2 linked regions of the Tamandua tetradactyla genome follow. The protein of the gene in region 2 interacts with the protein of the main gene of each other region in a pairwise test. Links are inferred from orthologs where the notes say so. Each region holds a gene or a part of one and is shown on either strand. Other genes may lie near its edges.

What was found. The genes of interacting proteins can lie anywhere in the genome.
Region 1: the proteins of FHL3 (region 2) and SPMAP2 interact in binary tests that used the Homo sapiens proteins (3 or more experiments, as listed by UniProt). The two-hybrid records come from large-scale screens. The link is inferred for Tamandua tetradactyla from reciprocal best matches to the Homo sapiens genes FHL3 and SPMAP2.

The regions. Positions count from the first base shown.
Region 1 is NC_135337.1:82,525,751-82,531,696, reverse strand, and holds the start of SPMAP2 (sperm microtubule associated protein 2), read right to left. Parts: upstream 3,702-5,946; 5' UTR 3,648-3,701; coding exon 3,328-3,647; intron 2,695-3,327; coding exon 2,578-2,694; intron 2,406-2,577; coding exon 2,346-2,405; intron 1,995-2,345; coding exon 1,933-1,994; intron 1,141-1,932; coding exon 1,071-1,140; intron 1-1,070. UniProt on the Homo sapiens protein: May be involved (but not essential) in spermatogenesis.
Region 2 is NC_135328.1:187,329,461-187,335,406, reverse strand, and holds the start of FHL3 (four and a half LIM domains protein 3), read right to left. Parts: upstream 3,478-5,946; 5' UTR 3,362-3,477; intron 2,939-3,361; exon of another isoform or gene 2,781-2,938; intron 1,490-2,780; exon of another isoform or gene 977-1,489; intron 418-976; exon of another isoform or gene 1-417. UniProt on the Homo sapiens protein: Recruited by SOX15 to FOXK1 promoters where it acts as a transcriptional coactivator of FOXK1.

The sequences.
Region 1 (5,946 bases), on a different chromosome or scaffold from region 2:
CCAATCCCAAGGCAGACTCGTTTCACATTTTGGCATTTCTGAGGTTGGAAAGCAGCTCGTAAATGCTCTCAGCCAGACGGTGGAAGGTCTGTAGTTATGCCACCTCGAGATCCCCCGGGTTCCTGCTGCAACCACTTCCAACAAATTCGGCGCCTTCCTGGCTCTACAGGTGTAGTTTAAATTGTCTTCAAAGAGATTCCATGATGACCCAGCATTACAATGAAAACTGACTGTGGACACGGACAATTGTGAAAGGAGTATGGGAAGGGCACAAAACACCCTAGAGTTGAAAAGTGATTCAAATGAGTTGGACCCAGTGCAGCGAATTTATCTCAGCCACATCTTTCTTCCTTTTCTTGCATGCATCAAGATATGGAATTAAAATGCATGCTGTGACAGATAGGTTCAGGTGTCAAATTGGCCAGGTGATGACGTCTTTGTACGTAGGTATTCAGTGTGTGAAATTCCTCTATCCACACTCAGCTAAGGGGAGTGCCTTCCACAATGGGTGACATTTAATTTCATTAGCTGGAGGCTTAAAAGAGAGGTCAAGAGAGAGCTCAACACAGCACAGCCCGAGCAGCTCAGCATCCCTCATGTCAGCACTCGCAGCTCAGCCCAGACATTTGGAGACGCAGAAAGGAATCGCCTGAGGGAAAACCACTGGAATCCAGAAGCCGGAAGTGAAGGTCAGCGGACATTTGCCGTGAGCCTTCCCATGGGACAGAGAAACTCAAATGAAAGTTAGTTGCCTTTCCTTGGAAGAACTATACAATTTTAATTAAACAAATCCCTTTATTAAAAGCCGATCCACCTCTGGTGTCTTGCATTCTGGCAGCTTTAGCAAACCGCAACATATGCCTACCTAACTCTAAGGATCAGTTTTAATGGGCATGGAAGTTCCAAGGGATGGAAAGGAGTTGTCGTTCAATTGTCCAGCTGTGGCCAAGCCCAGTTCGAGGTTGGCTTCTCCGGCGGCCCTTTCCCGTGCCATGCGCTGCCAGGGGACCCAAGAGGGGTCTGCTGCCCAAATCTGCCCTCCCAGAGCCCCCCCAGCGCTCGCTCCCTACCTGTTATTGTTGTAGTACTCCAGGTAGAACCTTTTTGGTCGTGACAGCTCCTCCACTCGAGGAGACACCGCTGCGCAAAACGGGAGCCCATGGTCACTCAGAGCCCAGAAGACAAGTGAAGAGTGCGCCGCCCACCGGCCCAGCCCCGGACCCCAGCACGTAGGCAGCGTCTGCTGTCCGCACTTGGGGGGAGTCAGGCTCGCAGGCCTGAAGTCTGTCCCAGGGCTGGGGTGGCCTCACAGGTTCCAGAGGGGTCCGAGGACCCCGGCTGGGAAGCGGGCTTGGCCTGGAGTTGGTCTGGGCTTAGGGCTCACTTTGGGGAGAGGGTGCAGCCCCCACAGAGGGAAATGCTGCCACTTCTCTCCAATAATGAGCTTCCTTTGCACATTTTATTTGAAGAAACAGATCCACTCCTCTAAAGAATTGTGCAAATGATGATAGGAGCGGAGGCTAAGGGTCTTCTTATAAACTAAATGCTAATTCCCAGTGTGGCTGGGGTGCAAATGCGGATTTCTGCTGGAGAGTTTGTCTCATACTCTCACTCCTGGCATGCAACCTCAGCTGAGGGACAGAGACTAGAGATGGGAGAGGGAACAGGCTGCAGAGACCTCTGGGAGATGGGGATGGAGCTCAGGGCCTCCCAGGTGGTCTTGGGATCCCAGCTGGGCCAGGATGGGGTGGGGTGAGCAGCACCCCTGCCCCCCACCCCCCCTGCCCCAGCTCCCGGCCCCCCCCCAGCCCCGCCCCTGCACCTTGCCCCAGCTCCTGGCCCAGGACCACCCACCAGGACCAGCACCCAGGGTTGGGACCGGGCCGCCCCGCTGACCCCCGGCCTGCACCCTGGAACGTGCAACGGGCTTACCAGGCACCGTGACCGACAGGGTGGTGTCCTCGAGAAACCTCTCCGTCCAGTACACGGATGGCCTGGAATACAGCCAGGGGTGGCTCAGAGGGGTGCCACCCTGCGCTGAAACAGAGGCTTGGGTGCCCCCTGAACACACAGACGTGGAGGGGGACAGCAGGCAGGGCCACAGGGGGATGGGAAGGGCAGGCAGAACTGGAGGGCAACAGGGGAGGGGCGGTCACCGAAGGACAATAAGGCAGCCACTGGGAGCCCCCAGAGCCAGGCTGGGGCACAGAGACACTGGCACCCAGGAAACTGCCCAGTCCGCCTGGCCACAGCGGCACTGGCCCAGGGACCCACTGGGAGCCTTTCCCCTGACGTTGGCCCTGGAGGGGGGGGGCAGCTCCAACAGAGGGAGCCCCCAGACTTACCAATAGAGGGAGAACTGCAAGGTCATTTTGCAAGGGGACATCCAGGCAGTGCAGCCCATCCTGCCAGGAGACGGGGGCCGAGGCCCCAGCGCCCTTTGCTCTGGACCTCCTCTCGCTCCTTCGGTCGCCACCCAGCCCACCTGGCGCCCTGGCTCCCCCGTGCTGACGGAGGGGAGACGGGGGTGGGGGAAACCGAGGGGACTGGGAGACTGCACCTCTGAAGATCCCTCACCTGTCTTTCAAGACTTGCCAGTTAGTCTTGGGTTTGGCCAGCTCGAGCACCCGTCTCCTCCTCCGCTTTCCCTTGGGCCTGCAGGCGTGGGGCGCCTCCTGGGTGGCGGAGAGCCGGCTTGGGGACAGCGGGAGCCGAGCTGGAGGGCCTCGCACGAGCCTCTGCTCCTCCCCCGGGGGGGCCGGACCCTGGGGCTGGACTCGCCACCCCTCACCCGACATGACAAGCCTAGATCTTTGGGGCCACCAAGGAGCTCTGTCCAGAATCGGTCCCCCAAATCGCCTGCCACATATTTCTCCTAACCACTCCTGAAGCGTCGGGCAATTTGCGACGCTGGGAAACTTTGGATCTGGGAGATGTTTTCTCTCCCCCTTTTGCCTCTCTGGCGGGGACGCCCGACCCCAGCCCCAGCCTTTCCTACCGCCCTCCGGTCACCTCCAGGACAAGGGTGGTGCTGGCTGACTTTCAGCTCAAAGGTTGGGGAGGGGCACTGCCCACCCCCACCTGGCTACCCTCAGGGGGAGGCCCCAGGAGGAGACCCCTGGAAACCCCAGAAGACCTGGGAAGAGACCCAGGAGGAGTCTCGAAGACAATCCACAAACCAACCTCTCCCTGGCGTCCAGAAGATCCAAGCCACAGGCATGGAGGGGGCATGGGGGGGACTGTGGGGTGGTCTTGCATGGGGTCCGCCCTTCCCCCTCTCCCAAGCACCCCCAAGCGCCCCCCAGCCCGGCCCCCACCCACGCCTACCTCACTTCGGGAGCATCCTCGTCTGAGCTGGGCTCCAGGACCCTCTCCAGCTCCGAAAGGGCCCCTTCCGGGTTCTGGGTGTCCAGGAACTCTCCCCCCATGTCCTCCTCGGACACAGCCTCCTCCTCCTCCTCCTCCTCCTGGTTTTCAGATCCCGGGCCCTCATCCTCCACGTCCTGGTACTTGGGGTCCTTGAGCCCCGGGACCCCGAACCCGGCGGCCCGGAGCCCCAGGGCACTGTCATCCCGCCCTGCGTCAGACCCACTCACACCCTTGGAGGTGCGGCGGCCGCTGCGTGAGCCCTGCCCTTGGTCCCCCATGTGCCACTCAGACCGACGTCCTCCTCTCGCAACACCCAAATGGCTCCGGGGTGGCTGTGGCAACCGGAGAATGTTCTGGCCACATTCCAATTTTTGCCCACATTCCAATCCCCACGCTGTCCATGCCGCCACCCCACCTGCGTGGCCCCAGACCCCGCACGGGCCCTCTCGCTCCTCCAAGTAGTCCCAGCGGCCACCACCTCAGGGCCAGCACACTGGCCATCTGCAGCTTGGATGCTCTGTCGCATCCACATGTACAGTAGTTTGGAAGCTGCTGGAATGCAATATACCAGAACTGGAGCGGCTTTTAAAAGGGGGAATTTAATAAGTTAACATGTTTATAGTTCTAAGCCTATAAAAATGTCCAAACTAAGGCATCCAGGTAAAATACCTTAATTCAAGGAAGGTCGGTGGGTCAGAAACACATCTGTCAGCTGGGTCGCCACATGGCTGACATCTGCTGGCCCCTTGCTCCTGGGCTCTGCTGCTTTCAGCCTCTGTTCCTGTGGGGTTCCTCACGTTGCTTCTGCAAGGCTGGCTTTCATCTCTTGGCTTCCCTCGGCTCCTCTGTCACGTGGCAAGGCACATGTTCTGGCTTACTTAGCATCTCATGAAAAGGCACAAGGCACATAGTGACGTCTGCTGGGATCTGCCTGTGTCTAGGCATCTGCTCTCTCTGTCGGCACTCCAAGCGTCTCTAAACATCCGTGTCTCTGTCAGCTCTGAAGAAACTGTTCCCCAAGCATCTGCCTCTGAGATTTCTCCAAAATGTTTTCCCTTTTAAAGGAGTCTAGTAAACGAATCAAGACCCACCTGGAAAGGGTGGAGTCACATCTCCATCTAAGCAAAAGGCCACACCCACAATTGGGCATGTCACACCTCTATGAAAACAATCCAATCAAAGTTTAAACCCTAAACGATAGGTCTGGCCCCTCAAGATTGGATCAGGATTAAAACATGGCTTTTCTGGGGTACATAATAGTTTCAAACCCGGCACACACCTTGACTGAAGTAGTCTCATCAAAAGGTCCTACTTACAAACAGTTCACACCCACTGGAATGGATTAACTTTTACAAACGTGCTTTTCCAGGGTGCCTACAGCTCCAACCCACCACAAATCCACACAAATGGAAAACTAAAGAGGGAGGGAGAAAGAGGAAGAGAGAGGCAAGGGAAGGAGAGGAAGGGAAGGAAGGATGGTTGAATAACCCAGTCTCTGAACTTATTTTGGAGAATCTCCAAATTGAGCAGGACCTACAGAAAAATGCACCCCCAATTTGGGCAAGCTCCTAATTCGTCCATTCCACAACAGACTGGCCATGTGGTCAGGGACAGTGCCCAGAGCAGAAGCTGGGAAGCCTCCCTGGGACTCGTGCTCCAGCAGATGCCGTGAGGCGGCTGCTCCCCAAAGATCCGCCATCGATTTCCTGCTGCTCCCCCATCACAAAGCGGGGTCCATTCCTCCCTCTTGGAGCTGGGGGGCGGAGCTGTGGCCACTCGGTCCCACAGAATGCAGCGGTCGTGAAGTCGTGGGAGTCCCAGGCCCAGCTCCAGCGCTAGCATTTGGAGTCCAACAGCCATGCCATGAGGTTCCCTGGACTGCTCCTGGCAGGCAGCCAAGGGGCTGGGGTGTCCAGTCCACGGAGCAGCCCAGACGCAGAGGCGTGAGGTTGCATGCCTGTGAGCTTGGGCCGGTTAAGGATCTGGCTCCTGGGTGAACAGGGTCTCGCACACGCCTTTCGGGGGTGGGGGCTGGGGGTCCTGCATCCATGTCATGGGCCTCTACAGAGGGGGCTCTACAGAAGGGCGTTGCACTTCTAGCCTCTGAAACCGCGAGACCATAGAGGCTGGGGGTTTGAGCCCCCCGTGTGGCATGTGTCACTGCAGCTGGCAAGCTGAGATGCACAGATGTCAGCTTCACCAGCCATGCTGTCGGGCACAGCGAGTCCAGGCAAGACAGCGGGGTCCACCCCCAGCTCCCAGCCTCTCCTTCATCTGCCAGGGGTGCCTGCTCTGCCCTTCATGCTCCTCCCTAACCATCACCGCCTCCGAGAAGCCCTCCAGACCAGCTACCTAATTTTGGCCTTGCTCGTGTTTCTAACTAAATCTATGGCGTGTTTTGTCTGTGCCATGGCATTTGCATGACCTGCTGTGTATTGGAATTTCTCACTGAGGCCAAATACACATAAAATGAACTGTTTTAAAGTGAACGACTCAGGGCACTTAGGACATTCATGACGCGAATGTAAAAGCCACCGCCTTTATCGAGTTCCAGGACTGTCTCATCCCCGGAGAGCA
Region 2 (5,946 bases):
ACGACTCAAGGGGCTGTCTTTAGAATGGGACTCCTGGGGTGGGGGCTATGCTAGGTGGAGGAGCTCCTCCCTCTCAACTCCTCCTCCCCACTTAGGCCAGATTTTCCTTTGGCAGCCCAACATCTGAGCCTGGTCTGGGCTATCTGCCACTGGGCAGCAGGGGTCACCCATGGAGTGGTCTGTCAGACAGTGCCCTGGGCCCTTTCCTTCCTTTCTTGCTAGCCGGCAGCAGCAGCCATCTTCCCAGGCCCAGGCTAGCCCTGGGTCCGCCCTGTGGTAGGCAGTCACCACTGTGAGACAGGGCACCCCAAATAGGGTATGGGTGTGGCTTGGTTCCTTCCCAGAATCCCCTAGTCAATCCAGCTGGGCTCTGGTGAGGACAGAGTGAAGGGCACTATCAAGGCCCACCTGTCTCTGCCCATCCCCCTTCCTCCCTTGCCCCCACCCCCACCCCTGGCCCCTTTCCCTGGCAGGGACTGTGGAGGGAGTCAGCCTTGTACTCCTTCCTGGCTGGGGGTTGAGGGGAAATGCTCCGTCTGGCAGATGGCTGTCAGCCCCTGCCCCCACTGATACACACACACATCCTGACCTAGACACACACACCTGGCACCTCCCAGTAACACTCCAGGAGCTCAGACTGGCTGGATACTGGGCTGTGGTTTGTGGTGTGGAGATGTTTGAGCTGTGAAATCATAAACCTGGGTTTGAATCCTGGCTCCCTCACTTACAAACTGGGTGACCTTGGACAAGTCACTTAAGCTCCCTGAGCGTCTTTTTGTTCTTCGTTTTTTAAATCTGACATTCTCAGAGTAAGCCCGGGGAGAGAATGTAGACAGAACCCCCAGTTCTTCTGGGAGAACAGAAGAGGCCTCAGGCCCATAGGTTTGCTGAAGAGACCAGTGGGGCCAGAGGTGGCTCCATCCCAGTCATTCTAACTGCAGTGAGAGTCCTCATACAGGGACACATGTCAACATACCTGCATGCTCCTCTGCTTCCCACAGATGCATCACACCCACCATCTCATCAGATCTCCCCAAGGGCAGGCGGGTAGATTCTCCAGCTCATTTTACAGGTAAGCATGAGGAGGCCACGGCCAGGGCAGGAGCATGCCAAGGTCACTCGGGTAGTCAGAGTCTAGCACTCCTGCCTTCCAACCCTTTGGGAGAGGACTGTGGTGACGGTGGACGGGGTAGTCAGAATTTAAGGGCAGGGGGACAGGAGATGCCTGGCTATGTCACTAGAACTGCAGTTTGGCTCTTTTCCCCATTGAACCCCCAGCTGCCAGCTCTGCAACTGGAAGACACCCAGAGGCCTTTCCAACTACCCATGCCAACTGCTCAGCCCTTCTGTTCCCCCTTCTCGCCCCCACTGTCCAGGAGGGCCCTGGCCAGGCCCCACAGCTGTGAGTCAGGATCAGAACACAGCCCTCCCCCAGCCCCCAGGAGCTGACAGGAGACTTAGGGGAGAAACCAACTCCCTTCCTCCCCCCACCCCAGCTACCAGGCACCAACCCCAAACTCACCCCAGTCCCTCCCCTCCCCCTATGGGGCCTAGAAGTCAGAGCAGTTTGGGGATGGGATGGGGGAGGGGAGGGGAGCAGGATCCAGCAGCTGCCCTGGGGATAGGAGAGGAACAGTGCATTCACCCCGGGTCCCCCAGGGCTAAAGCAGCGTGTCCAAGATTTGAGTTTAAAAATAATTCACACTGTCTTGATGGCTGCGTGTGTCCATCGGGCTCCTTCTTGGTCTCAGTCTTACCACGTCAGGTCCTCTGTCTCCTGAAGGTTCAGTAGGCTCACAGTTTCTGTTTCCCCACATCCTGATTCTCCAATCTTTTCAGGCCTGGCATCTCAGGGTCTGTCTTGGAAGCTGTCAGCATGCCCCCGTCCTTCTGCCTCCATTAAATCTCACCCTTTTTCTTTCTAGCTCTGTTCCCAGCAATTGTCTTTATGTTTTGGGGGGGGGGTGTCACTGTATGTCCAAATGGCTATCTCCGAGTGGGGGCTGCTACTGCTCTGAATTTCTATCTCTATACACCAAAGTCTTAGTCTCACAGTGTCTCTATCCTGCTGAGCGTCTTGTTTCTCTGATTTCTGTCTCTGTGCATCCAAGTCACTATCTCTGTCCCTTAGCATCGCTACTCTATGTCTCCGTAGGCCTTGCAGAGGCCGATTTTCCATAAGCTAATGAAGTTGAAGCTTCAGGACCCCTCACTTACCCAGGCCCCTCCGAGGCCCTGGGAGGAGCCCTAGCAATGTATTCATGGAGTCATATCGGTGCTTTTTGTGAAAGTGCTCCACAAAACCCAGATTTGCCCCTGTGCTTCGCATCTGTCTCCCTGACTGTGTATCCAAGACTCTGCTCCTATTCCGAATATCTGTGTAGCCCCCTGTCTGCAGCCAGGAGCTTAAGTCTGTCGCTCGTGTCCCTGTCTCTGTCTCAGCGTCTCGCTCCACTGAGGTTTCGGTCAGCCTCAGTTTCTCGTACCCCACCCCCCCGGTCTCCCCAGGCCAGAGTCCCTGTCTCTCTCTATAGCCTAGCTTTTGTATTCCAAACTTCGTCCCCTCCCCCGCCCAAATCCTGCCGCAGCCCCCGCCCCGCCCGAGGGTCCGAGGCTGTCCGGTCCGGTGCTGGGAGACCCCGGCGCCCCCCACTCCAGGCGTACGCCTCGTCACGCGCCCACGGCGGTAGACCTGGGCGGGGGGCGGGGGCTGGGACCCGCAGCTGCCCTTAGCCCTCTGCAGGGGCCAGGATTCCGAGCCGGCTCGGCGCGGAGCTCACCTCCTAGCCCGGGGCAGCGCTTGCGCGGGTGGGGCCGGGAACCCGGGGCCGCGTCCCTCGGCGGCTCCTACCTGCCCGCGGGGTCGAGCAGGGACCGAGCGAGCTGCCGGCGAGGCTGTGGGCTGTGAGCCGGACTGTGGGCGAGTAGGAGCGCGGCCCCAACCCCTCCCCGAGGAAGTGAGCGCGGGAGCCCGCCCCGCCCGGACCCCGCCCCCGGCCCCTGCCCTCCCCCCACCCCCATTCCCGCTGGCGGGGTGCGGACCCCGCCCCTGGCCCCCCATCCCGGCTGCGGGGGCCAGACCCCGCCCCCACCGCTCCTTTAGATTTGAGCCCGCCCCCACCCCAACCTGACTCTCCCAGTCCTTCTACCGTAGCCAATACCCGGCCGTGCCCCCTGCTTTCAGCCTTGCTAGTCTCTCTCCTTACCCGCCCCCCCCCCCCACATCCCATTCCCCCAACTGCAAGCGGGGACCTGCTGTATTCAATCCCAGGAAAAGGGGTACAGGACCCAGCAGTTCAGGGTCCATTTGGGGACGAAAGTGTCTTCATTCAGTCCTTGTGTCCCCCCCACCCTAGTTTACCCCCAGGAGGTTGCAGCCCAAGTGTGTGAAGGAGGCCTGAGTCTGTCCTGGAGGAGGGGTGGTCTTGACTCTGCTTTGACTCCAAGACTGAGGTGTTCTCTGGAAACATGGGGTGAAGAGAGGGCCCGCCTATGGGGCCCTGACCTTTAAAGGGCTTCATCCCACAACTCTGAGTAGCAAAATCAGAGCTAATCACCTTCCCACCTCAGGCTGCAGTTTGGCACGGAGAAGCCCTGCCTCTGCTTCCACAGTGCCCAGGAATAGTTTTGACCTTTGAGGCCCAGGGGAGACCCTAATCCTTGGCCCCACGGTCTTTGAGCTTCTTGGGGGGGGGGGGGGTGAGTGGATGGGGCCCTGAAGGAGGGGTGGTGCGTGCCTGTGTGAGAGAACAAACACCACCCTGCCAACCCCCACCCCCCTGCCAGTTTTTGATCCTCTGGCTTGCTTCCTCCCTGTGCCCAAGAGAGAGGGCTGCATGCCTGCCAGGAACACAGGGCCCCTCCGGGTCCTTAAGGCCACCCCCCCTGGGATCCTCAGGCTTGTCACTAGGAATAAATAGCCTAGATCTAGAGGGGTGGAGGAGGGAGGGAGGAGGCTGTGCTGTGCAAAACAAGAGACAACAAAGCAGTCCTGGAAATAACCTCTAGTATCTAGATTAGAGATTCAGATTCAGGTGCTCACAGAGGACGGACACACACAAACACCGGCTACATCCAGCAGATTCTTAGAGCAGAGACTCCCTCCCTGACTGGGGCTCCCAAAGACCCTCTCCTCCCAACTCTGAATCACATCGCTGGATTCCTAAGTCCTAAGTTTGCCCCCGAGGCCAAATTTCCTTTCATATATAATAATGGCTTGTTTATTATTATCGTTACTGCCTAAACTGTAAGTTTCATGAGGGTGGGTGCTGGGCCTATCTTGTTTACCACTGTGTTCCAGTACCTGCTCTAGTGTCTGGTTCATAAGAAATTTCTAATGAATGAACAAATTAAAGACACTGCTTCAATCTGGACCCCTGCCTCCTAGTTTGGACCACAGGCACCTGCTATTCAGGGGTGAGCAGCCAGCCCGTGGGTGGGCCCCTTTTCTGGGACTGAGGTCAGCAGAGTCTGAGGATTTGTCTTCTAGGAGTAGGGGACTAGTAGGGGACTCCTAGCACTGGGTAATACAGAGATGACTCTGCCAAGTTGGAGGAGATGGCAAGAGGGGGTCTGTTCAGGGTGAGAGGTGACAGCTGTGAGTAAAGACAAGGAGGCTTCAGAAAGGGAGGAGTTATGAGTAAGAAAGATGCTGGATCTGAGGCAGTGTATTGGAGTTTCTACTCTTTACGCCTGGTTGCAATTTCTGCTAAATAACATAATAATATTTCCAGAGTTCTTACTTTGCACAAGTCCCTGTCTAAGCACTTTATAAATGTTAATTCACTTGATCGTCCAACGACTTTATGAAATATGTATTTTTATTTCCATTTTAAAGAAGAGGAGATGGAAGCACAGAGAGATAAAGTAATTTGCCCTGAATAATACAGCTAATAATGGCAACGCTAGGATTCAAATCTGGACAATCAAATGCCAATACCTCTTATGCCAAAAGGAGCTCACTATTCGGCTCCATAGCCTTTATAATCACTTGACCTCTTAAGCCTCAGACTCCTCATCTGTTAAGAGTTGTTGAGTACCTATCCCACAGCACTGTTGTGAGGATTGAAAGAGAGCACACAGTAGGTCTTCAATATGTGGTAGTTACTCCCACCTTACACCCCTCTCTCAACCTTTATCCCTCTCACACCCTTTCTTGGTCAAGTGCTAAGGTTCTTCTGCTCAGGCTTCAAGTCAAGAGGCCAGAGAAAGTTAGGAGACCTCTAGCTTGGCCTGGCCTGGGAAGGGAGATTGGCTTTGGGAAGGGGGGCTGTGTCCTTTTCCCTCCCCATTTCCAGCTCCCTAATGGGCTCACATTTCCCTGCCCACTCTATTTCCACTGGGCCTGAGGACATACTCCAGGGGGGCCAGGGGGATCAGCCACATGGACTCCCTGTTCCTGTTCCCTATCCCTCCTCCCTCCCCTCTCCAGGCAACAGGTGTGATTGAGCTGGGGCTGGAAGCAGAGCCCATGTGCTGGATGACTGGGGTGAGTGGGATCTGGCTGTCCCTTCATTCATTCAGGAGGTTCCCACACAGCCTTCCTTGTCTCATTGTGGAAGGGGGCTTGCCGTTCCCCGAGCTGTTCTCCCACCTTGAAGGTGTTTTCAAAAGGAGGCCCTGGGTGAAGACTGACAAGCATCTCATGGTTTCCTCTGAGTGCTGAGTCACTCCCTGATGCTTGTAATCACAAGCCCTCCTTCCCCCAGTGAGAAAACTTCCTTCCTTCTTTGGGTGCATTGCTCTCTGCTACAGGGTAGGCTGTCTGGAGTCCTTGCAGGCCTCATAGCTTAGCAGACACCATCTTTCAAATTGCTCAGAAGCTCCTTCCTCATGACCCCAAGCCTGACAGTGAGTCTGTGGGTGGAGAAAGTGAAATGGGTGACTTCCACAGAGCACTGGCTGGGGTGGGGGTGGGTGGGGTGGGGGAGGATAGGGCCGAGGGAG